Linked DNA regions of Cricetulus griseus. The protein of the gene in region 1 interacts with the protein of each later gene in a biochemical or structural test. Links are inferred from orthologs where the notes say so. Each region holds a gene or a part of one and is shown in the gene's direction. Other genes may lie near its edges.

Region 1 (4,475 bases):
TGCCCCATCCTCCTGAGTTCTGGGATTACAGGTGTGAACCATCATACAACTCTGTCTTCATTTCTTATACCCCCTTCCATTGCTTCTTTCTTTCTCTCTCTCTCTCTCTCTTTCTCTCTCTCTCTCTCTCTGTGTGTGTGTGTGTGTGTGTGTGTGTGTGTTACCAAGGATTGAACTCAGGAATCTGAACATGGAAGACACGTATTCTGCTGGAGTCACTTCCTGCCCCCCCCCTTTTTTTTTGAAGAGATGGGCTTGTGCGGCCCAGGCTAGTCTCAAACTCCTGATTTCTCTTTTTCTAGCTCTCAAATGCTTGGTTTACAGTCATGTGCTTATTTTATTTACTTTGTTTTTTTTTTCTTTTTTGTCTTGGAACTTGCTCTGTAGATCAGGCTGGCCTTGAAGTAGGATTATTGAGATGGGGTCTAGCTAAATCACCCATGCTGACCTCAACTCCTGACGCTTCTGTCTGATATCACCATGCCTGGAAGATGTTTTGCTTTAAATCAAACATCATCTTTAAAAATTTTAAATAGTGACAGAGAGAGAGAGAGAGAAAGAGAGAGAGAGAGAGAGAGAGAGAGAGAGAGAGAGAGAGAGAGAGAAAGAGAGAGAGTGTGTGTTTACCTGTGCTTGATAGCTCAAATGTTATGTTTAGGTAAGGGTTCCAAGTCTGATGTTAGCAATTCTGAGATGATTGCATCTGTTTATGGACTGCACTATTTTAAAAATTATTTTCATTTTACTATTTTATGTTTTGGAGTATTTTACCTGAATTTATGTCTGTGTACCATTTGCATGAATGGCCCATTGATGTCAGAAGAGGGCATTGGATCCTTTGGAACTGGAGTTAGAGACAGTTGTGAACTGCCATGTGGGTTCAGGGAATAGAATCTGGGTCCTCTGGAAGAGCAGCCAGTGCTCTTAACCACTGGGCCATCTGTCCAGCTCCATAAAGTAAGCTTTTAATTAACTAGCGACAATTGTGATATATGCTACATGGAGTTCATGCAGCAATGGTAACAGGCGGCCTCTCTTCTTGCCAGTTAAATACATGAAGGAGGTCTCACCGTATTTCAAGAATTCTGCTGGCGGGACCTCGGTTGGCTGGGACTCACCTCCTGCCTCACCTCTTCAGCGTCAGCCTTCTTCCCCTGGTCCCCAGCCCAGGAACCTCAGTGAGGCCAAACATATATCCTTGAAGATGGCATATGTCTCAAGGAGGTGCACGCCCACTGACCCGGAACCCAGGTGAGGCTGGAGTGGGGAGGCACTCAGATAATACAAACGAAGGATATCTGTGTTGTATGTAAGTGACAAACATCATACCAGCATCCATGCTGGCATGAAGCAGGTGCTTCACAACTGAGTCAAATGGACGCATGACTTAACTCTAGGGTGATGGTATGCACTGCTTGTTTTCTCTTCTCTTCTCTTCTCTTCTCTTCTCTTCTCTTCTCTTCTCTTCTCTTCTCTTCTCTTCTCTTCTCTTCTCTTCTCGCTGGGATCAAAGGTGTGTGCCACACTGCCCTTTGTCTCATCTTCCTCTGGGAAATTAACAGGTGAGCAGGAACTTGGCTTAGGGAGGAGCCCTGGCTTCCAGCCTTGGTTCTCCTTGGCTTTCTTCTTCTTAAGAAAGGGTCTCAAGTAGCTGGAGCTATTCTCAATTTCGCTGTGTAGCCCAGGAGGACCTTGAACTTCTGCTTGATCCTCCTGCTTTCACTTTACCAGTGGTGTGATTACAGGGTGCACTACCACATCTGGTATTTTGAATTGCATCCTTGTGCTGGGAGAACTAGACAATGTGTGTAGCGAGGGGTGGATTTGGTCTGTCTTTGGAAAGGTTTTCCTTTGATTTCCAGAGACCTCTGTCAAAGCCTCAGAGGTTAGAACTGGGTCATGTGGCTGGCATAACTGCAAGGGAATCCATGGACTCAAGTCCTTTGCTTTCAGCTCTGCAGTAGAGGAAGGCAGGGGCAAAGCTGGATGGGCTAGGTGTTGGGAGTAGCCTCCCCTTTCTGCCCTACTCCTTGTAGTACAGAAATCCAAAGGGGAGCGAATCTTTAACGGAACACAAAACATTTTGGAAAACCTTTCCAGTATCACTGTTGCTCTCCCTCCACACTTGATGGCATGGCTTTTTGTTTCTTTTCTCTCTACCCATTTTATCTCATTTCCCAACCTGTTTTTTTTTTTTTTTCTTTTTTTCTTTTTCGAGAAGGGGTCTGTATAGTTTAGGTAGTTCAGTGTTTTAAAATTTTGAATTACATTTATGTATTTGTTTATTTTGTATGTGCATGCATGTGCACATGCCACAATGTATGTGTGATGGCTGGAGGACAACTTTTCTCTTCTACCATGGGAATCAGGTTGCTGAGCTTGGCTGCAATGCCTCTACCCACCCTGGTGATAATGTGCTGACACTACAGACGGGACATCACACCTGGTTGCTCTCTTTTTCTCTTTTTCTTTTTCTTTTTTCTTTTTGGTTTTTTGAGACAAGATTTCTTTGCGGCTGTCTCTGGAAATTGCTCTGTAGACTAGGCTGGCCTTGAACTCACAAAGATACACCTGCCCCTGCCTCCTAAGTGCTGGGATTAAAGGCGTGTGCCACCAACGCCCGGCCAGCCAGTGCTCTTAACCTCTGAGCCATCTCTTCAGCCCTAAACACAATCCTTATCTCTCATGGACAGCCTGTGTGGCTTCTTCCAGTTTGGCAGTGGGTGGCTTTCTTGAACTAGATGTCTGGGATGGATAGCTGGCCAGTGACATGTCCTATCTTTTATCCCATTGTGCCTTCAGGTATCTGGAGATAGGGGCAGCAGATGGCCAGGATACCCTGTTCTTGAGGGCCAAGGATGAGGCCAGTGCAAGGTCATGGGCAGGTGCCATCCAAGCCCAGATCAGCACTTTCATACCTTGGGTCAAGGATGAGCTGCAGGCACTGCTGACAGCCACAGGTACAGCTGGGAGCCAGGACATCAAGCAGATTGGCTGGCTGACAGAACAGGTGCTTGCTGGGCCCCATTTCTGTCACACCTTATCACCCCATGCCCTCCCGGCCCTTTGACCTCTTTCATCCCATCCGTCCTCATTACCTTTTTGCTTGCAGTTGCCCAGTGGAGGTACAGCCCCAACCCTGGCCCTGCTGACAGAGAAGGAGTTGCTCCTTTACTGCTCTCTCCCCCAAACTCGAGAGGCCCTGAGCAGGCCAGCCCGTACTGCCCCGCTCATCGCCACCAGGTACTGAAGAGCAGGAACGCTCGGTGTTATACTCAGACTTGGGAGGGTGGTGTTCCAGATGGACCCCAGAAGCCCCAAACCCCAGTGCTGTTCTGCCTCCAGCTATTTCCCAGGTGATCTGAAGCAAGTTCTGCTCCCTACAGCCACAATTTCCCCCATTTATAAAGTTGAGGCTCAGAACAGAAAAATGTGAAGTGCTAACTGTCACTCAGTTATTGATACCTTCATCTTGTACTGCACGGTTCAGGGGACACACAGTGACATGAATAGTTACTGCCCTCAGGGAGAATCCGGAGTCAGTCAGGAGACAAACCCAGAATAACCATTATGTATGTCTAGCCATTACATTGAAGGTTATAGGAGACACTTAGCTGTCTGGCTTGGCCAGGGAAGACTTAAGGAGAAGGTGACACTTGAAATGGACTTTGATGAATAAGAACTGTAGCTTTTGAGGAAGCAAGGGAGAGCATCTTAGGTGTGGCCAGAGGTACAGAGGCATGGAGGGCTAGAACATGTTCATGACCTGTAAATGTGGCAGAACCACATACAGAATCCACATGGGAACTGGGGGGGAAAGAGACAGAGCTGCTGTCTGGTGAAGGAACACTGTGTTAGCAGGATTTTTTTTTTTTTTTTTTTGTGTGTGTGTATGTGTGTGTGTGCATGCACGTGAGTGCATACAAATATAGAAACCAGAAGTCATATTCAGGTACCTTTTTCTATTTAGCTCTACCTTATTTTTTGAGACTTTGTCTTTCATCAAACCTAGAGGTTGTTATTTTTGGCTAGACTGGCTAGCCATTAAGTTCACACAATCCACCTGTCTCTGCTCCCTCCAGTCCTGAGGTTTCAGATATATGCCACCACATTTGGCTTTACCATATATACATATATGTTTATGTATATATATATATATTTGTATATATATGTATTTATGTTAATTTTTGTGAGACAAAGTCTTACTATGTATCCATGGCTGGTTAGGAATTTGCACATGGACCAAGCTGACCTTGAACTGCTCTAAGTGCTGGGATTAAAGGCATGTGTTATCATGCCCACTCCATATTCTTTTTTAGAGACAGGGTCTCTCATTGGACTCAGAGCTTGTTTTGACTAGACTGACAGGCCAGTGACCCCTGTCTCAGCTTCCCCTAGCGCTGGGGCTGCAGGTGTCTGCTGCCATGTTTGGCTTTTACATAGATGCTAGGGACCCAAACTCAGGTTCACATGCT
Region 2 (3,586 bases), on another chromosome or scaffold:
ATCCCCCAGACACCAATAAAGCCACAGGTTGCAGTCCCAACTCTAGGCTTCTGTGTGGCCTTTGGTGGCAGCACAGGCCTTGAACTTCAACACAGACCCCAGTCTCAATAGGACCACAGACCTAGACATGGTCCTCTGCAATAGCCAGGTTTAGATGTCACCATTGCCACAGATGGCAGTGTTGCAGGCCATTCAGATTGGCATGGCCCCAGTGGCAGTGTGGCTCTCAGCCACTAACATGGCCCCATACCTTGGGCATCCACATGGACTTCAATGGTAACAGAAGTCTCATCAACACAGATAGGACCCTGGCTACAGTAGGGACATGGACCCAGACATGGCCCTCAGCTGCAGTTCTGGCCCGGATGTCACCATGGCATTGGGTAGCAGCTCAGGCCACACAGATCTGTATGACCCTGGCTGCAGCTTGGCCCTCAGACACCAACATGGATTCAGGTGGCTGACCTGACCCTGGGCATCCACAAGGTCCTTGGAGGCAACAGGAACCGTGGATATCAACCTGCACCCTGGCTGCTATAGGGCTACCGACTCAGACACCGCCCTCCGCAGAAGCCTGGACCTGGATGGCACCACAGCCTAATCTGCTACCCAAATCTGTATGACCCCAGCAGTAGCATGACCTCCAGACTCCAACTGGACCATGGGTTATAGCCCAGACTGGGTCCTTTGTAATAGCAATAAATTCTTAGCCATGGAACCATCTCTCTAGCCCCTATTTATTTATTTTTATTTTTGTGTGTATGAGCGGTTTGTTTATTTACTTTTTTTGCCTGCATGTACATTTGTGTACTGTATGGCAGGTGACCTCAGTCAGAAGAGGGTGTTGGATCCCTTGAAACTGGAGTTATAGGTTGTTCAGGAGCCAAAATGTGGGTGCTGGGTACAGAACTTGGAACCTCTGCAAGAGTAGCCAGTGCTCTTAACCACTGAGCCAGCTCTGCAGGCCCCAAACCTATGGAATTTTTGTTTGTTTGTTTGTTTGTTTTGTTTGTTTATTTATATGGTTTTTCGAGACAAGATTTCTCTGTCCTGGAACTCACTCTGTGGACCAGGCTGGCTTACACAGAGATCTGCCTGCCTCTGCCTCCCAAGTGCTGGGATTAAAGGCATGCACCACCACCACCCAGCTGTTGTTTGTTTTTAAATGTGAGTCTCAGGAATCCAACTTAGTTCCTTGTGCTTGCAAAGCAAGCATTTTTCTTTTCTTTTCTTTTTTGTTTTTTCGAGACAGGTTTTCTCTGTGTAGCTTTGGAGCCTATCCTGGCACTCACTCTGGAGACCAGGCTGACCTCGAACTCACAGAGATCCATCTGCCTCTGCCTCCGGAGTGCTGGGATTAAAGGTGTGCGCCAGCAACGCCCCAGCTAACAAAGCAAGCATTTTCCTCCCTGCAAGCTGTCTCTTCTATTTTATTTCTCCAGCTTTCATAGTTTGTTTGTTTGCCTTATTTACAGAAAATGACCTGAAGCGGCTCAGCCCAGAGCCTCCTCATGGACCAGTCAAATATGACATCTCTTGCAGAGGAGAAAGCCATGAACACCTCCAGCAGGAATGCCTCCCTGGGGAGCTCACACCCGCCCATTCCCATAGTGCACTGGGTCATTATGAGCATCTCCCCGCTGGGCTTTGTAGAGAACGGAATTCTCCTCTGGTTCCTCTGCTTCCGGATGAGGAGAAACCCCTTCACAGTCTACATCACCCACTTGTCCATTGCTGACATCTCACTCTTGTTCTGTATTTTCATTCTGTCCATTGACTATGCTTTGGACTACGAACTCTCTTCTGGCCATTACTACACAATCGTTACATTATCGGTGACTTTTCTATTTGGCTACAACACGGGCCTCTATCTGCTGACAGCCATCAGTGTGGAGAGGTGCCTGTCGGTCCTCTACCCAATTTGGTACAGATGTCACCGCCCCAAGCACCAGTCGGCATTTGTCTGCGCCCTCCTGTGGGCACTCTCGTGCTTGGTGACCACCATGGAGTACGTCATGTGCATCGACAGTGGGGAAGAGAGTCGGTCTCGAAGCGACTGCCGGGCGGTCATCATCTTCATAGCCATCCTCAGCTTCCTGGTCTTCACCCCGCTCATGCTAGTCTCCAGCACCATCTTGGTGGTGAAGATACGGAAGAACACGTGGGCCTCCCACTCATCGAAGCTGTACATCGTCATCATGGTCACCATCATCGTTTTCCTCATCTTTGCGGTGCCCATGCGGGTCCTCTACCTGCTTTACTACGAATACTGGTCAGCCTTTGGGAACCTGCATAACATCTCTCTGCTGTTCTCCACTGTCAACAGCAGCGCCAACCCGTTCATCTACTTTTTTGTGGGCAGCAGCAAGAAGAAGCGCTTCAGGGAGTCCTTGAAAGTGGTTCTGACCAGAGCTTTCAAAGATGAAATGCAGCCCAGACGCCAGGAGGGCAATGGCAACACCATGTCTATTGAGACGGTGGTCTGAGGACCACAGCAGGGAATTGTGGACACAATGAGGGTGGCTTTCAATTTGCGCTTGGCGTGCAATCAAAGCACATTTAAATCTCCAAAAATGATACAGAAGGGAAGCATTCCACATGCATGAAAGTGTAATCGACGATGATCTTGTGTTCCTATCTAGTGTCTTCTGGAAATGCCTCCATAAGTGAGGTTGCTCCGTCTTTCCCATTCTTGTCAGAGACTCACTCTTCTCTTAGCTCTTAGTGATCAACCATTAACTATAAAAACTGCTCTAGCAGGAAGTATCCCAGATGGGACCTGGAGAACCTAGGGAAGCCATGCAGTGACTGCTGTTTGCTCCTGTGTGACTTCAAGCAAGTGGCTTTGGGGAGCCTCATTTCCCCCCTTAGTGGAAGTGGTGACAGTTTGTAGTGTGCAGGTTATTGTGGAGTAAGGCAAGGTAGGCAAAGCACCTGCCCATTGTCAAAGTTCAATAAACGTCCATCTCTCTTCATCCTTTAACCAGAACACAATGTTCTCATACAGATATTGTCTTGTGCTTTTAAACGTGGAATGTAGATTCCTAAACGTCTTTTGGCTTGTAGCATAACAGCTTTTCATGACAGCTCTGCCGAAACATCATCAATTGTTCCAATCTGGGCAGCAACAGATTGGGACAGCATTTTGAGTTCGGGAAACAAACATTTGTCCCCTCTTGGAAAAATTTCCCATGGCTTCCCATTCCTTGAGGAATATTACATGGGATGGAAGTCGATGTTTTGAAAAATTTTGACTGGTATACAATGCAACTTAATTCAGGAGGTTGAGAGCTATTGTGATCTTGAAGACTGGTTCCCCCAAAGTGATGGGTTATTTATAGCCATGAAGTTCTTGCCTTCAGCCTCATAGATTTTCTGCATCTGATGGCCTTTTTTGAGTGTGTGTGTGTGTGTGTGTGTGTGTGTGTGTGTGTGTGTGTGTGCATGCACTCATGTATGCCTACATGCAACTCACAGACATGTGAATGTGCGTGGCTTGGACATGTGGTGGGTGTGTGTGCATTTAGAGGTCCAAGGTCAAATAGGGAGTTTTCCTCCATTGCTTTCAACCTTATTCAGTGAGTCA
Region 3 (5,043 bases), on another chromosome or scaffold:
GCAAACAGGGGCCATGAGTGGAAAGTTCAAGAGGCCTTGACATAAGGCTACGCTGTTTTTGCCCAGCTTCTGAGAGGCATGGAGGTCACAGCTCAAGCATAGTTAACACTTTGGAATAGGATACAGTTATTCGAGTAGACTAAAATTTTTTTTTAAATATCATTTTTATTGGGGTGGGAGGGACTTATGTGGAAACCAGAGGGCAACTTATGGAAGTTGGTTCTCTCCTTCCACCATGTTGGGTGTGGAAATGGAGCTCAGTTTGTCAGGCTTGCCCGCAAGGGTCTTTACCTGTTGAGCCATATCGTTATCCACTCTTCTATTTCTTAAAGTGCCTTTGTCCTTTCAACTTTCTGGTAGATCATAGGCCTCTTCATTTTTCTATAACTCTGTCCGTCAACTGTGGATTTAATTTTGACTTTATTTTGCTCTTTAACAAGGTGAGTCACAATGCCTGAGTTTAATATAATTCTGTTGACAAACTTGTACCCAGCCCAGGCTAAGCAAAGTGTTTTACGGGTATTGCCTTACTTAGCTTATCATTAATAAACGTCTATTAGAATCTGTGGGTCGGGTAGGGGCTTCCTGGAATTTGACTTAACATGCGGCCACCCTTTCTTGGAGAGAGGCCGAAGGAAAGAAGGAATAGAGTTGAGCAGCTGGCAGTAGGAAGGGCAAGGCCGCCTCCCTCTTCCTGGCAGCTGTCTTACCAGGCCTGAACTCCTTTTTCCCAAAGGCAGGCAGGGGTCTCCACCTCTGGCCCAGGTCCAGTCGCTGGGAGGGTGGGTAGCTTTTTCCGAGTCACTGACACACCCTCTCCATCTTAGCCACCTGCCCCGGTTCCATCCCAGTTCCAGGCTCCCTGGAGGGACTCAGGGACATTCCAATCCTCCCACTACCCTCTCAGACGCCGCGGGAGGAGGGAAGGGGGCGCAATTGCTTGGCTCTTCTAGAACTCAGCGTTGTCTGTTTTTTTTTTTTTTTTCTTTCAACCCCAAGTATCCTGGATTCACCCGGTAGAGCAAACTAACTATTGATGAAAGGCTTGAAGGCTGGTAGTTTACAACCGATTCTTTGGCAAAGCCGCATCTTCAGCAACAGTGGCACTTTTTGGACACCGTCTACGCTCTTGCAGACAATTGAAAGCCAAACCGCCAAGTTGCCTCCTCACCAGACCAAATATGGTCACAAGCGCTAAGCAGCCTTCCGTGGAAAGTCTGGCCTCGCGGGTGTCTCCCTGCGCCAGGGTGCGCCCCGGCCCGACCTCGGGCAGATCCGCGCCCCGTGCCGCGATCTCGATGCGGGGGCGCTCCCGTCAAGGCGAGGGCACAGCGCCCTGGACCGACCCTTTCTGGCCCCTGGCCCCTCGACAACGACTACGTGCCCTCCGTTATCCTCAGGCTTGGATTTTGTCCATAACCCCTTGATTTAACAAGCTTGAGCCATTTTCTCTTTGATCCCGCCCCAAGTCAGTGGTAAACTCAAAGGAATGCAGATAGAGCGCTCGGCGGGAGAGGTCGGCGCGGCGGGGCGGGGGCACGGTCTCACTCGCCGCGAAGTGCCCAGCCCACCCCGCCCGCCCGCCCGCCAGCCCGACCGACCGACCCGGGTGGGAGGAGGAGGAAGAGGAGGGGCAGGCTGACTCCGGCCAGGAGGTCATGCATAATTCAACAGCTCCACTTTCGGCCCGCCTCTTTCCTAGGGGTGGGAGTTTGCTGCAAACTTTGTTTATGGGACAGTCCGGGAGCCTTGGCCGCTGCTCTCGTCTGCTGCTTCTCCGTCGCCTCCTCGCTCAGTGCGAGCGCCCGGGGCTAGCTCCGGGGATGTAAGAGTCCAAACTTTCGGCTGCTAGGAATTCGCTCAGGATCTGCCAGACGGGACCGGGTTCCAGCTCGCTAGCTCGGGAGGCTCCCAGGCTCGGCTTCCCCGCGTGCCCAGGTAGCACCCGCCGCGCCCCGCACCCTCCCGGGCGCCGGGCTCTTCGGCGTCCGCGGTCCCGGCGCCTGGGATCGGCGGTGGGTGTATTGCTCAGGGGAGGCTGCGACCGGGCCTGATGCAGGCACCCTTCCACCTCCCACCGCTGCCTGCTCAAGGGAGCTTCTTAGCTGCGGGAAAGTTGCATAATCTCGGAGGCCAGGGGCGCCCCCTCCCCCCACCGCTGGTCCCTCGACCGGTACCTAACTGTCTCTGCGTTTTTTTTTTTTCTGTCCTTCCCCTGCACAATCTCCTCTGACTTCAACTAAAAGGATGAACTGATCTTCCTTTTCCCTTGCAGAAAGATGAATCCGTCCTCGGTCCCTCCTGGGCTCCCGCCGCCAGGGCAGCAAGTCATCCACGTCACGCAGGACCTCGACACGGACCTCGAAGCCCTCTTCAACTCTGTCATGAACCCCAAGCCCAGCTCTTGGCGGAAAAAGATCCTGCCGGAATCCTTCTTCAAGGAGCCGGATTCTGGCTCGCACTCGCGCCAGTCCAGCACCGACTCATCGGGCGGCCACCCCGGGCCTCGACTGGCAGGCGGCGCGCAGCACGTCCGCTCGCACTCGTCGCCCGCATCCCTGCAGCTAGGCACTGGTGCGGGCGCCGCTGGGGGCCCTGCACAACAGCACGCGCATCTCCGTCAGCAATCCTATGACGTGACCGACGAGCTGCCACTGCCCCCCGGGTGGGAGATGACCTTCACGGCCACTGGCCAGAGATACTTCCTCAAGTAAGTCAGCCGGCAGCCAAGAGGGGCACAACTGTGATGCCCAGGACGCTGTCGCTTTCGTGGTGTGTGCGTGCGTGTGTGTTTGACTGAGACTCTTCCAAGGTTCTTCAGAGAATTGCAAAGTTGGGAAACTAGGGAGTGAGTCTCTGGGAGTTGGACTTGACTAGAAGCAGGGAGCAGCTTTTGTGATCTTAGACACTTAATTCCCTCCTTTAACTAGTTCAGAGCCAGGTCTATTAGCATAAGATAACAGGAACTTTGGGAGACCTTGGAAGCGGTGGGTCTGCCATGAGTAGGTCGTCTGGGTGCTTCAAACAGTCAGGAAAAGCAAGCCGGAAAAGAGCACAGTGCCTAGTGGGTTTACCTCTCCCAGCTGGTGATGTAATGACCACACAGCACAGTGATGTAATTACCAACTGCATTGTAAAGTAGTTATGGGCTGGACCAACAAATTGTGTGGAAATTGGGTCAGGAGTCTTATTATGTTACACTTGGTAACCTATAATACCATCACATTAGGAGTGTGCATTGTCATCGGTCGTGTCACATTGGTCTGGCTTCTTCATGTAGTGAATTTTACATTAGACTCAGTTTTTGGATTAGGTTGTACAGGAAAAATATATTTTCAAATGCTAGAGGAGGTTGGCATTCCTGAGGAAAGAAACAGGCTGGAACTGGAATTGTTATCAGAACCAGTGAGATCATAGGGGTCAGGCTAGCAAAGGCCTATTTGGAAGTTGTAGCTGAACCACTTGGTGCAGAATCACTTCTTGGCTAATCTTCACTGCCAAAAGGAAAAGTGCCTACGAACATGTCTTGAAGTTCATCATAGAGCTGTATCTCTTTGTTGAAGTAGCCTTGTTTCAAAGGTTCAAATGTAAGGTAGCATGTACTATTTTAAAAGTTTAACCAAACTCCTTTTTGGCATTTATCTTTGATACTTCGATTGTTGAGGCCCTAAGAATGAGCATATGGTGGTGGATGAATTTATTATGGGCAAGTCTGAGACTCATACGGGTTGTCATTTCTTCCTTCCCCATCCCAAAGCTGCTGATATTTTGTTTATATTAAGATTTATTTTGCTGGGCAGTGGTGGCACACAACTTTAATCCTAGCACCAGGGAGGCAGAGACAGACAGAAGTCTGTGAGTCTGAGGCCAGCCTGGTCTACAAATTGAGTTCTAGGACAGCCAGACCTATTACTCAGAGAAACCCTGTCTTGAAAAACAAAAACAAGAAAAGATTTATTATATTATTTTCTGTGTATGTGTGTGTGCCTGGGGATATGTGTATGTACCACATACATGAAGTGCCCATGGAGGCCAGAAGAGGGTATTTAATTCCTGGGAACTGGCAGTGTGAGCTGCAACTCCCCTAATTGGGGATTAGGTTGCTAGGAACTGAACTCCAGTCCTCTGCAAGAGCATCAAATGGTCTTGACCACTGAGCTATCCCTCTAGCCTCTTCTTGGGAATACTTTTAATTATTTTTATCTTTGTTTTGGGGGTTGGTGTGATGGTGATGTCCTGAAGCCAACTCAGCAGTCTTTTATCACAGTCGGTGTCTGGATTACTGAGCCATGGTATAGATGTGTGCTCAGTGCTTTGGTTTCTAAATAGTGTTAAAGTCAGGTACATGATGTAATAGCATGGTATTTTTCTAAGTTTACAAAGTGCACGCATGTTCAAAATATCATCATGTATTAAGTTCACTTAGGTAAATGCAGCTGTACATATTTCACCAGGATTTTTACTAACATGGACTTCGCAATAAATATAAGTAGAGTCCAAATAATTTTAGATTGTCCCTTTTGATCTCAGATTATTTTTAAACTGCTCATGAATGCACATATAAATATGATTATTGAAATATGAAATAAGAGCTGGGATTTCCTAATGTCTGTGGAAACATAGACAAAAATGACCTCTAAGTAAAAACAATTTCTTTTCTACATGTCTTTTTAATCGTTAAAATTGCTCAGATGTGTTTGTGATTTAGGGCAAAAATAGAAGTTAGCCTAGTGTATAGAGGAAGTTGTTGTGACCCATTATTTTTGTCCACCCATGCTGCCACAGGTACTCCTCCAACTAAACCAGAGTGATTCTTCATTTCATTTTGAATAGTCGATGGATGGCATGACCTGAAGCCATCCCTGGAAATTTAGTAGCTAAGTGACTAAGAGAGCATAAGGAATTATGTTTTTTTGTGGGTATTGTCTTGTAGAATAAGCAATCTGCAAGAATTCTTGATGTCTCTTAGAGCTTTGCTTGAAGTTTGAATAAGGTCAACGTTCTATGTCATACTTTGTTACACAGCCTTAAGAAAATGATAGC
Region 4 (5,170 bases), on another chromosome or scaffold:
CCCTTCTTCTCCCCCTCATGTGTGCTTATATTGCCACAACAAACATGGAGGTCAAAGAACAACCACCAGGAGTCAGTTCTCTGTTTCCACCAATCTTGTGGGGATCCAAGGGTGGAACTCAGGTCGTCGGGCTTGGCAGTGAGGGCCTTTACCCGCCGAACCACCTCAGAGCCCCAGAAGTGCCCCTTGAGGCCCTTGAGTATGCTCACTTTTTACCTGCCACCTGGTTGAATGTCTGCAATCCTTGGTGCTCAGAGCACCCTGAGTCTGGGTCCTTATTGGCCGTGAGCTGGGGTGGGCGCCACGGCAGCTTACAGGAGCCATTCCTGACATGCCCCACAGGAGTGAGATCAGGGCATAGCCCTTGGCTGACAGGAAGGGAGTGTGTCCCTGGCAGAGATCTCCAGCAGGTGTCCAGTCTGCCCTCTTGAGCCGGTGCCCAGCCATTCCCGGGTTTGATGTGGTAATTAGAGGTGCAGCCCCCTGGCTTCGTGTCATAGTCAGGAGCCCTCTGGCCACATCCTGTTTTGGTGAGCCAGTCAGAATGCATTCTTCTGCCTTGCTGTCATAGACAGAGTGTGTTTGCACCAGGTCCTGAATCTTTTGAGGCCGCCAGGGGCCACATTCTCCCGGTTTGACATCACACACGTGTCTGTTGGACGTCCTCTTCAGTAGTGGTCACTGTCTTCCGGTCTCCTTGGGATTGGCATTTGTTTGTCCTCTCTTGTGGGGGAAGTGGGGCAGTGTGATGAGCCACAGCCCCCCCCCCATTCCCCATCTTTAGAATCAGTCTAGTTAGGGATGGCGCTGTCCCCAGGGGATCCCATGGGATCCTCATCAGGAGGTCTGCACAGCTGTGCACACCAGTGTGCCAACATTTGGATGCCGACTCCTCTGCTGCTGCCCAGATGTTTCTGAAAATCCGCAGGGTTTTCCTGGGTCCCTTGGGGTGAACGCTGATGTCCTCTCAGTTGCTGCCTCTTGTGCCCAGGTTTGGTGTGTAACACCTCATGGGCGGGCATGGTGTGTGCCACCTCATGGGTGGGCATGGTGACTGTGAGAACTGGACACCCCTCAGGCTGGGAATATTCCCTGGTGAGGAAGGGTAGGACCCCCGACATTTGCATGTGTTTCACCTTTCATGCGGGAGCAGAAGATCCATTCTGTCAGGGTCTGGGATAAAACAAATGGCCTCTGTCCATCCTGTCCCATGGAGCCCAGGGAGCCAGTTGGGGATGGGAGAGTCTTGAAAGAGGACAGTTGAGATGTTTCTTGTGTGGGAAGTGGGCAGGGTAAACTCATGATGGAACATTTTCCCTTGACCGCTGGTTTTCAGACACACACATTGCCAGTTCAGTGACATCTCCTCCCTCTCCCTCCCTCTCTCTCTCTCTCTCTCTCTTTCTCTCTCTCTCTCTCTCTCTCTGTCTCTCTCTGTCTCTCTGTCTCTCTGTCTGTCTGTCTCTCTCTCTCTCTCTCTCTCTCTCTCTCTCTCTCTCTCTCTCTCTCTCTCTCTCACACACACACACACACACCACAGTGGAGAGCATACGTGTGTACCCCAGCCACTGTCAATCATGTGTGCCTGACCAGTGATTGGCAGCTGGGAACCCTGTACACTTTGCAAATTTTGTCCTTTCCTGCTCCAGCATAGCTGGCCGACCGCCCTGCCCTCTGCCTGGGGCACCCCCTCACACACATGTCTGTGTCTTCCAGCTTCCCCCCAGGCAGCCTGAGGAGATCCTGTGCCCCCAGAAGCAGGATGAGAAGATGGCAAACTTCCTGTTACCTCGGGGCACCAGCAGCTTCCGTAGGTTCACCCGGGAGTCTCTGGCGGCCATCGAGAAGCGCATGGCGGAAAAGCAGGCCCGAGGTTCGGCCACGTCACAGGAGAGTCGTGAGGGCCTGCCAGAGGAGGAAGCTCCCCAGCCCCAGCTGGACCTGCAGGCCTCTAAAAAGCTGCCAGATCTCTATGGCAACCCACCCCGAGAGCTCATCGGGGAGCCCCTGGAAGATCTGGACCCTTTCTATAGTACCCAGAAGGTGACTGCCACCCCCTCAACACCCTCCTCACCCTTCTAGGTAGCTCCTAGGAAGACAGCAGGCAGATGGGGCTCTGCTCATGTGGGGTTCTGTGTGGGGCTGGCTCCCCTGGGCTTTGGGGGAGTGACTTACCACTGATCTATATTCCAGTCACCTTAAATTTGGAGTTCTGGGGTGAAGACATAAATAGTGGTGTTTGGGGCCCTAACTTGGGGGCAGGAAGACCACAGAAGTCTTTCCTTCTCATGTAGTGCTTTGGTGTGTACCTCTAGGGTACTCCTTCCTGTTCCTAGACGGGTGAGCACTTGGAGTAAAGCCCTGTGTGGTCTCCCTTCTAAATAAAAGTGGTGTGTGCTCCTCCCATCCTTCTGGCAGCTCAGAGAGCCAGCTGGCTCAAGCTGAGCCACAGTGGTCTCAGATTCCTGGGCCGTATGGCCTCCCCTGAACCACAGAGGCCATGAAAGGCTGAGAGGGGAGAAGAGGCCGCGACTGCTGAGGCATGGAATTGTGGGAAAGACCTGTTCTGTCATCATGGCTCCCCCGGAGAGGGAAGGGGGTGTTGTTTCTCCAAGACCCTGCCCTGGCCTCCTCTTCAGGCCACCCGACTATCCTCACTTCTGAGCCTAATTGGGGGGGGGGGTTGGTAGTGGGACAACTGGCTGGAATCTGGAGAAAGTACTTCCCTGAAGGCCAGGCACCAGAGCTATGGTCAGCTCCAAGCTAAGAGCAGAGCGAAAGACAACCGTAGTCAGTGTGAGGGTTCATGTAACGAGTGTCAGTGTGTCTGTCAGCATGGTCAGAGACAACTTTTGGGAGACTAGGAGCCTGTGTGTGTGTGTGTGTGTGTGTGTGTGTGTGTGTGTGTGTGTGTGTAGCGTGTGTCTCTCTGTGTGTGTATCTGTGTGTGTATGTGTGTGCACATACAGGGCTGCGTGTGTGATCAGCTATGGATGTGGAGACCCACACACTCAGTCCCCGCTGTCAGGAAAGCTGGCCTGGGGCTACTGTGAAGCTTCCAGAACTCCCGGTTCAAGTGACTAGAGTCAGTCAGGGTTGGGCATGAGTGTGAGAGTTATTAGGCCAGAGGTGAATTGGGTGAGTGGGTAGGTGGACTTAGGTCATGGACGGTCAGAGATGACTGGATTGGGATTGGGGTTAGGGACATGGCTGAGAGAGTCTAGGTCACCATGAGAGGAATAGAGAGGATTAGGTTGGAGTCAGATGAGACCAGTAGAGGGACAGGCAGTAGGTGAGCCTAAGGATGGAGTCCAGGCTGGGTGGGCTTCAGGCCTCTTCTCCCGTGATTATAGGTGTGTGCCACCACACCCCCTGAAAGGGTCCTGGCTGAGATGGTAATTCTGAAACTAAAGAAAATCTCAACCAACCTGACATCACCCAGACTCCACCTTCCCCCTCTTCACTCACGGCCCAGGCATGGGGTCTCACTTCCTTTCCTGCTTCCCTGCCCCTTAGCCTCGACCTGGGGCTCTGAGATGACAGCTGTCTCCCTCTGTCTACAGACCTTCATCGTGCTGAATAAGGGCAAAACCATCTTCCGATTCAGCGCCACCAATGCCTTGTACGTCCTTAGCCCCTTCCACCCCGTACGCAGAGCGGCAGTGAAGATCCTGGTACATTCATATCCTTTGCTGTTAATCCCTGTGGTCCGCCTCTGTCCTGGGCTGATACACGATGGGTGCTGGGCAAGACCCCTTACTGCTCCTGGGGCAAGCAACTGATTAGAAAAATAGAACCCCAAACTCCACCCTAGATAGTGCCTGCTCATTAACAAGATCCCTAGGGGGTATTTGGGGTGGAGGAGACTTTGAGAAAGCCATGACATCCCCTCTGCTTCTTCAAGAGGAAAAACAGCCTTGAAACCAGCAGTAGGATTCCAGAAGAAATGATGTCCTCAGCGTTGTCCTGTTTCTGGTGGCTCCAAATGTCCCCACCCACCACCACCTGGAGGTTCCCCCCACACTTCCCGCTGCCCCTTGCAGAGGCTCAGCCAAGGAAAAGCCAGGCCTTGGTAAAAAGGCCTCTAGTTTTTTCTCATGTGGGCATCTTTTGAAGGAGACAGCGCTTGCATCTGAACTAGGTGTTGACAAAATGTTTGCAGTTTGAGAGCTTCTCAAAGAACTCTGGTTAGCGTCCAATTACATAAACCGCAGCCTAAAAATGCTTCCTGCCTGCTGACAGAGCTATTGGAGTGAAGCAGTGGGGCAAAGAGTGCCAAACCAGCTCCGGGGGCCCAGTTCAGGCAGCGTCCGAAGGGGGACCAGTCCTTCTCCGCATTTCATTGTTAAGACATGCTTATTTACTTACTGTGTTCTTGTGGGGGGGTGGGGGGAATGTGGAGGTCAGAGGACAAACTGCACGGGACAGTTGTCCCCTTTCACCATGTGGGTTCCCGGGATCAAACATGGGTGGTCAAGCTTAAACAGCAAGTGCCTTTGCCACTGAACTGACTCACTGGTCCACTCGTCTCGTCTCTAGATTTCAGAGAAGGGACTTGAGGAGTCTCAGAGAGGGATGGTGCTGTCCACCAAGGCAGAGACCTCCACATTTTACTGTGAGGACTTGGGAAGCCCTTTCCGTGGCCACTGTGACCTGGCGAGGGCATGCCTGTAGTCAGTGCTGTTGTTTGTTTGGCTGGTTTGGGCTTTCTGTTGTTGTTAATTATTGCGTGTATTTATTTGCTTGTGGTGTTGGGGGAGACATCGTGGTGTGTATGTGGTCGGGGTCTTTCCACTGTGTGGAGGTGGGAGATGGAACCCAGGCTGTGAGACTTGCAAGCGCTCTTACCACTGAACCAACTCCAAGCCCTCAAGTGCCGTTGGGAATCTCAGTTATACTGCTGAGCTCCCAATGATGTCAGGTGTGGGTATAGTGAACCGGCTGGGCAGAGGTCCTCAAATCCTCCCAGCCACCTCTACCTCAACCCTGAGCATTTGCCTTTCAGAGAGTTCCCTAAGAGTGGTAAGACAGCTACCAAGTTGTCGTTCCCTCCAGAGTGTGGTCGCAGCTTTGTAGGAAGAACAGAGCTGAAGGAGGAGGAAAAAACAGTTTCCTTAGTGCTCGGAGCTGGTCTCCAGCCTGCCCTAGGGGTGTGGCCACCCCAAAGCAT
Region 5 (5,033 bases), on another chromosome or scaffold:
CAGTCTTTCCTGCCTCAGCTGTACCACCAGGCCCAGCAGGATTGAGAGATTTAAGTACTAGAAAAACAGCACTTACAAATAAAGCATGCTATGTTTCTAAAATGTTGAGTGTTGATGTTTGCAGGTTTGGCAATGGGTTAAATAAGACCAGACACTGGAGAAAATAAGATAAAAAAAAATAAAACACATAAGAGAAGGAAAGGGGAGAACAGATTAAATTCAACAACTTCGGGCTTTCTTGCACTTCCTTTTCTTGGAAAAGAAATAAAAGAGATGGGTGAGCAGGAAAAAATCTTAATAACAAATATCCAAGAACATGACCTTGCTATGTCTTCAGGTTGCTTCTTTTAAATGTTTATCACTCTTTCTTGGCAATGATATAAATATATTTATAGTCTTTGTTAGATTCTCAATTGTTATCTTCTACAAATATCTATTTATGCTGAGTTTACTTTTCCTCCTGAGAAAACAGGTTGTTTCCAGAATGTTCTGCCTTAACTTTTAATTTTGGAATTATAATCTTCTTAAAATCAGTTAACATTTATCATTATTTATTTCGTGTGTATTGTATGTGTATGTATACACGTGTGTACATGTACATGCTTGCCAGGGGTGTGGGGGAAAGAGAACAGCTTGAAAGGGTAGGTCCTCTCTGCTATGTAGATTCTGAGCATCATACTCAGGCCACCGGACTCGGCGGCAAACTTCTTTATCCAATGAAGTTTTTTGTATGGCACATTTGGAAACTAGCGGCCACCACTCCACTGGGTCCTCTCAAATTTTCTCCTGATCGCTTTATATTTCCCTTTATATATTCGTCCTGCCTAAGTCTTATGCAAACCATATTCCTCTTTTGTAATTGCAGAACCTGAAATTCAAATTCTGCCCTTGCCTACAGACTGACTAGCTGGAGCAAAGCAATACCTCCCGAATTTATCCAAGTGGTACCACCTTCCCGTGTCTGCCTCCAAATGTGTATAACGTAATTAATTGTAGACTGCATCTACAATTCAGTCTACAATTGTAGACTCCATCTACAATGGAGTGTTGCGTTATGAAATTAAGAGAAGGAAAGGCCAGTTAAATGGACAGAAAACTTCAACGAAGTTCTCAAATGCAAAAGCTCCACACAGCTTTTCTAATCAGAGAGTCCACTTAAAGAGGTTAAAGAAAGCCAGTCTTGGGAGTTGTCTAACTCTTCAGCGCCAACCCTTCCTCTTTTTAACTTCCCCAAGAAGGACATGTTAGGGGAAGAAACAAAATCAACATTTGTGCATTATTCTTTGTCAAGTAAGTAAATCCTGTCTTGAAAACTGGAATAATGTGAGCTACAAAAAGGAAAGGAATTAAAATCGACAATCTCCCCCACCACCGAATTCTCATACTTTCTGCGTCTTGTGCTGTTTTCTGTTCCCCTTCTCCTTTCGCCTAAATTTTGTCTTTTCCATGGAGGGATTTGGCTCTGACCAGAATCTCTTTCTCCATCCTCAATCGGGCCAGCACTCACTACTGACAGAAATCCTGAACTGAATGAAGGGACAAATGCATGAATGGATGGATGAGTCACACAGCCCTTTCCGCCCTAGCTCATGAAGAGGTCTTGCTCTTTTCTCTGCCTTCCGCAGCAGGCTCCTCTCGGCATCCTTATCTGGAGATTGCATAACAGCCTAGGTCTCTAGAGCCACCTCACACCTGCCTTCTCAGGTTGGGCGCCAAAGCACCAGCCTGGAAGCAAGTCTGAGTGCCCAGCCACCACCGATCGCTCCTGGTCAGAACTAAAACCCGAAGTGGAGTGCTGGGAGCCACAGAGCTCGCACCGACCAGCACAACCACGGCGCCCTTGGGAGCATGCTCAGTGCGCCTTCCTTCCCTGCGCCCCCAGCCCGCGCCCTCCTCCCGCGTCCTCCCCGGCACCGCACCCAGGCGCGCTCCCGGGTACCCCAATCTGCCTCCGCCCCCGCCCCCGTCCCCCTCCCCCAGGCCTCGGCAGGCGAGGACACGTCAGGGGACATAAATAAATAAATAATTCCATTCAGCCGGTGACAGCGAGGCGAGGAGGCTGCAGCTGGGCGGGGGGACCGGGAGAGCTGCGGTGTGTGCACCGGGTGCTGGAGCCAGGTAAAGGCGGTGCTCCCTGGGAGGACGGGAGGAGGAGGACGAGGCGGGAGGAGAGCGAGTGCGGCTACCCAGGGACCGCACGCGGGTGCAGAGAGCCTGCAACCCCGGCTGCCAGCCCGCGCGCGCCTTGTGCCCTGAGCCCTTATATAGACAAAATCCCGAAGCCGATCCGGCGCGGGCTCGGGCGGGCGCTTCGGGGGCCCCCGAGGTCTGGGGATCCAGAGGTTGCAGGGCCCACGCCACCAGCTGCTAGTGCAGTCCTGGTGCGGGCACCTCAGGACAGTGAGTGGGCGGGCCCTGCCAGGCCAGCGCCCCCGAGGTGTTCTCCAGAATCTTCCCTGACCTACAGCATCCTGGGCGGTGTCCTTGCAGTGGGTTTGGATGGGTGGGGAAGTGCGTGGAGGGAATGGCAGCTCTTTCTGAAGAAGATCTGAGTCTTCGAGGAAGGCAAGGTGTTCTGTTTCGGTTCCCAGGAAGTCAAGGTAGAGGCTGCTGGCAAGAGAGGCTTGTGGTTGTCTTCCAGGGGCTTGAGAAGGGCCTGTGCCACCCTGATGTCCTCTGAGCCTCCTGAACCACTTCACCACGCTGGGGGTGACAGTCTTGGCTAGGTAGCACAGGTGGCTGTGAGCCCCAGCGGATGCTGCATCCCAGCTGGCCTCTCCATCCTTTTCTACTTCTGATACCTTTTCTACTTCTGCTACCTTCTGCAGATCGCTTTGGGAGGGGCGATAGTGCTTTAGGCCTCTCTCATTCCTGGTTGGACTACTCTTGTTTTACTTGGAGAAGCAGCACAGGCACACCACCACCACCACCACCACCACCACCACCACCACACACACACACACACACACACACACACACACACACACACACACACACACAGCTATTTCTCTTCGAGTGTTTCTTTAACTCACTTTGGTGAAGAAATAAGACTGGGCCTCCTTGAGGGCTGTCTAGTAGCCATTCAAAAGCTAATAATCCATGTCCTCCTCCCTCCTCAAACCAGAAGGAAATGCAATGAAGGAATAAAAATAGCAGGGAGTGACGAACACATGACCCTAAAAGCCTGGGCAAGAGGAAATCATGGACACAAATCCTGGCATACCAGGCTTCAAGGCTGAAACCGGTCAGCACATACAGGAGGCCTTTCAAGGCCTGCCTAGGTCCCATTGACTGTACTCTGTCACCCCAACCACCAAGCTGCATTTAAAGAAGGTGATAGAAAAAGGAGAGTTGAGTGTGGGACGCCGAACAAAGATGAGCGTTGAACGAGGTTAAGTCGTGAGATAATGCTAACTCCATCATCTGCTTCACTGTGCTGTGCGTTGAAGTCCATCTAGATGAGAGGGTAACTAAATGATATTAGCGACAGGGATGGCATGGCGTAAGACAGCTATCTCAGTGTGTGCTGCCACAGCTCACAGATGTTCATGTTATGAAAAAGTGTTGTGGAGGAACTTGGTGGATTCCATGACAGGCAAGGGTGACCGAGGCGGAGGGACAAACATGCCAGGCAGACAGAGCTTAGTGAGAAGTTTTATTAGAAAGGGAAGAGGGGTGGAGGTAAAAAGGCACAGAAACACAGAGTGAGGACAGAAGAGAAGAGGGAGACAGGAAAAGTCCCATCTGCCCCAGGGAAAGAGAGAGGGAAAGAGAGAGCAAGAAAGACAGCGTTCAGTGGGTGGGGGGTCTTTCTTTTAAAGGAGTCTTTTGCACCCGCCTGCAGACTATACAACCATGGAACCCTGGGCTGACCGGGGTACCGCCTGAGTGCATTCTGCCAGCTGACAGGGGCAGGCCGAGATAATGCCTAAATCCTTACAGTTCACATCAATACTGCTCTTTCCTCCTGTGTGTTTTGTTTTGGGTTTTGTTTGTTTTGTTTTAAACTAGTGGTTAACAATCTGAAGTTTTGTGGGGGAGCAGCAGAGGATTAAGCCCAGGGATCTATCATTGTGCAATGTCCCTATCCACTTATTTTGAGGCGGACTCTTGCTAAATTAGCCAGACAGGCCTTGGATTCTCTGTGTTGCCTAGGGAGACTTGACATTGGTCCTCTTCCCCAGGGACAGAGATTGCGGGCATGTGCCACTCTTTCCCTGATGTGACCTTCAGTGTCACCAACAGTTTCTTATCTGCAAATTAGCACACGCTCCTATCAATTCCAGTTTGTTTCTAGACACGCCTGTTTCTTGTACAGTATCTGCCCTGTATTTCAGGCTTTCATCCTTCCTCGAGGTATGGAAGGTAGGATGACTTCAATGATGCTCCTTATCCAGAATTGTGTTTTGGGTTCATAGATGTGGTGTCTCTAGAACTTTCCCTTTGATTCCGTACTCATTAAAACACTTGGGAAAATTTATATGACAAAAAAGAAACTAACACCCAGTCATTAAGACCGAGATACCACGATTGTTTCTGAGTTGGCAAGGATTTTTTACCACAGGATTATTTTGTAATAGAGGGCTACCTACCATCCTACACATTTTTATCCTTCAAAGGTCCATATTCAAAAGTCCCTGAAGGAAAAGGCCTAAGAGTGAGAATCATTAAAAATGAAATTAAAAGGTGCTGGAGAAGTGTGATCTCCAGAGTCCAAATGCTGGAACTCCGTCAAGCAGTGATGTTCACTGTGCAGTCCATGCCAGGATAGTATTCTTAGCATCTTTAGAATGCTATCTTCAGGCCTGGTGCTGGTATTTTCTGTTAACATCTAAGAACACTACAGGGTAGAGTTGTCTATATTTATATTTACAGAAATGTTTAGGCACAGTTACAGGGTTTACTCTGTCAGCATAGTCTGGTAGTCTGTTTTACGTTTCTCTAACAAGCTATCTCATGCTGCATAACATGTTTTTAAAAGGAGCTGAGTTTGCCTCATGATACAGATTGATGGAAAACCCAAATGTCACGGT

What was found.
Region 2: the proteins of Snta1 (region 1) and proto-oncogene Mas interact in a test that uses a peptide from one of them, tested with the Homo sapiens proteins (2 studies listed by BioGRID and IntAct). The link is inferred for Cricetulus griseus from reciprocal best matches to the Homo sapiens genes SNTA1 and MAS1.
Region 3: the proteins of Snta1 (region 1) and Wwtr1 interact in a test that uses a peptide from one of them, tested with the Homo sapiens proteins (2 studies listed by IntAct, with this or other methods). The link is inferred for Cricetulus griseus from reciprocal best matches to the Homo sapiens genes SNTA1 and WWTR1.
Region 4: the proteins of Snta1 (region 1) and Scn5a interact in a test that uses a peptide from one of them, tested with the Homo sapiens proteins (2 studies listed by BioGRID and IntAct). The link is inferred for Cricetulus griseus from reciprocal best matches to the Homo sapiens genes SNTA1 and SCN5A.
Region 5: the proteins of Snta1 (region 1) and Slc16a7 interact in a test that uses a peptide from one of them, tested with the Homo sapiens proteins (3 studies listed by BioGRID and IntAct, with this or other methods). The link is inferred for Cricetulus griseus from reciprocal best matches to the Homo sapiens genes SNTA1 and SLC16A7.

Annotation. Positions count from the first base shown.
Region 1 is NC_048599.1:25,250,292-25,254,766, forward strand, and holds part of Snta1 (alpha-1-syntrophin), read left to right. Parts: intron 1-1,046; coding exon 1,047-1,251; intron 1,252-2,802; coding exon 2,803-3,010; intron 3,011-3,112; coding exon 3,113-3,243; intron 3,244-4,475. UniProt on the Homo sapiens protein: Adapter protein that binds to and probably organizes the subcellular localization of a variety of membrane proteins. May link various receptors to the actin cytoskeleton and the extracellular matrix via the dystrophin glycoprotein complex.
Region 2 is NC_048595.1:288,210,172-288,213,757, forward strand, and holds proto-oncogene Mas, read left to right. Parts: upstream 1-1,505; 5' UTR 1,506-1,511; coding exon 1,512-2,486; downstream 2,487-3,586. UniProt on the Homo sapiens protein: Receptor for angiotensin 1-7. Acts specifically as a functional antagonist of AGTR1 (angiotensin-2 type 1 receptor), although it up-regulates AGTR1 receptor levels.
Region 3 is NW_023276806.1:93,868,065-93,873,107, forward strand, and holds the start of Wwtr1 (WW domain-containing transcription regulator protein 1), read left to right. Parts: upstream 1-1,643; 5' UTR 1,644-1,658; coding exon 1,659-1,825; exon of another isoform or gene 1,826-1,938; intron 1,939-2,275; coding exon 2,276-2,710; intron 2,711-5,043. UniProt on the Homo sapiens protein: Transcriptional coactivator which acts as a downstream regulatory target in the Hippo signaling pathway that plays a pivotal role in organ size control and tumor suppression by restricting proliferation and promoting apoptosis.
Region 4 is NC_048597.1:226,639,550-226,644,719, reverse strand, and holds the start of Scn5a (sodium channel protein type 5 subunit alpha), read left to right. Parts: upstream 1-1,770; coding exon 1,771-2,043; intron 2,044-3,563; coding exon 3,564-3,682; intron 3,683-5,170. UniProt on the Homo sapiens protein: Pore-forming subunit of Nav1.5, a voltage-gated sodium (Nav) channel that directly mediates the depolarizing phase of action potentials in excitable membranes.
Region 5 is NW_023276806.1:132,026,639-132,031,671, forward strand, and holds the start of Slc16a7 (monocarboxylate transporter 2), read left to right. Parts: upstream 1-1,633; 5' UTR 1,634-2,118; intron 2,119-5,033. UniProt on the Homo sapiens protein: Proton-coupled monocarboxylate symporter. Catalyzes the rapid transport across the plasma membrane of monocarboxylates such as L-lactate, pyruvate and ketone bodies, acetoacetate, beta-hydroxybutyrate and acetate.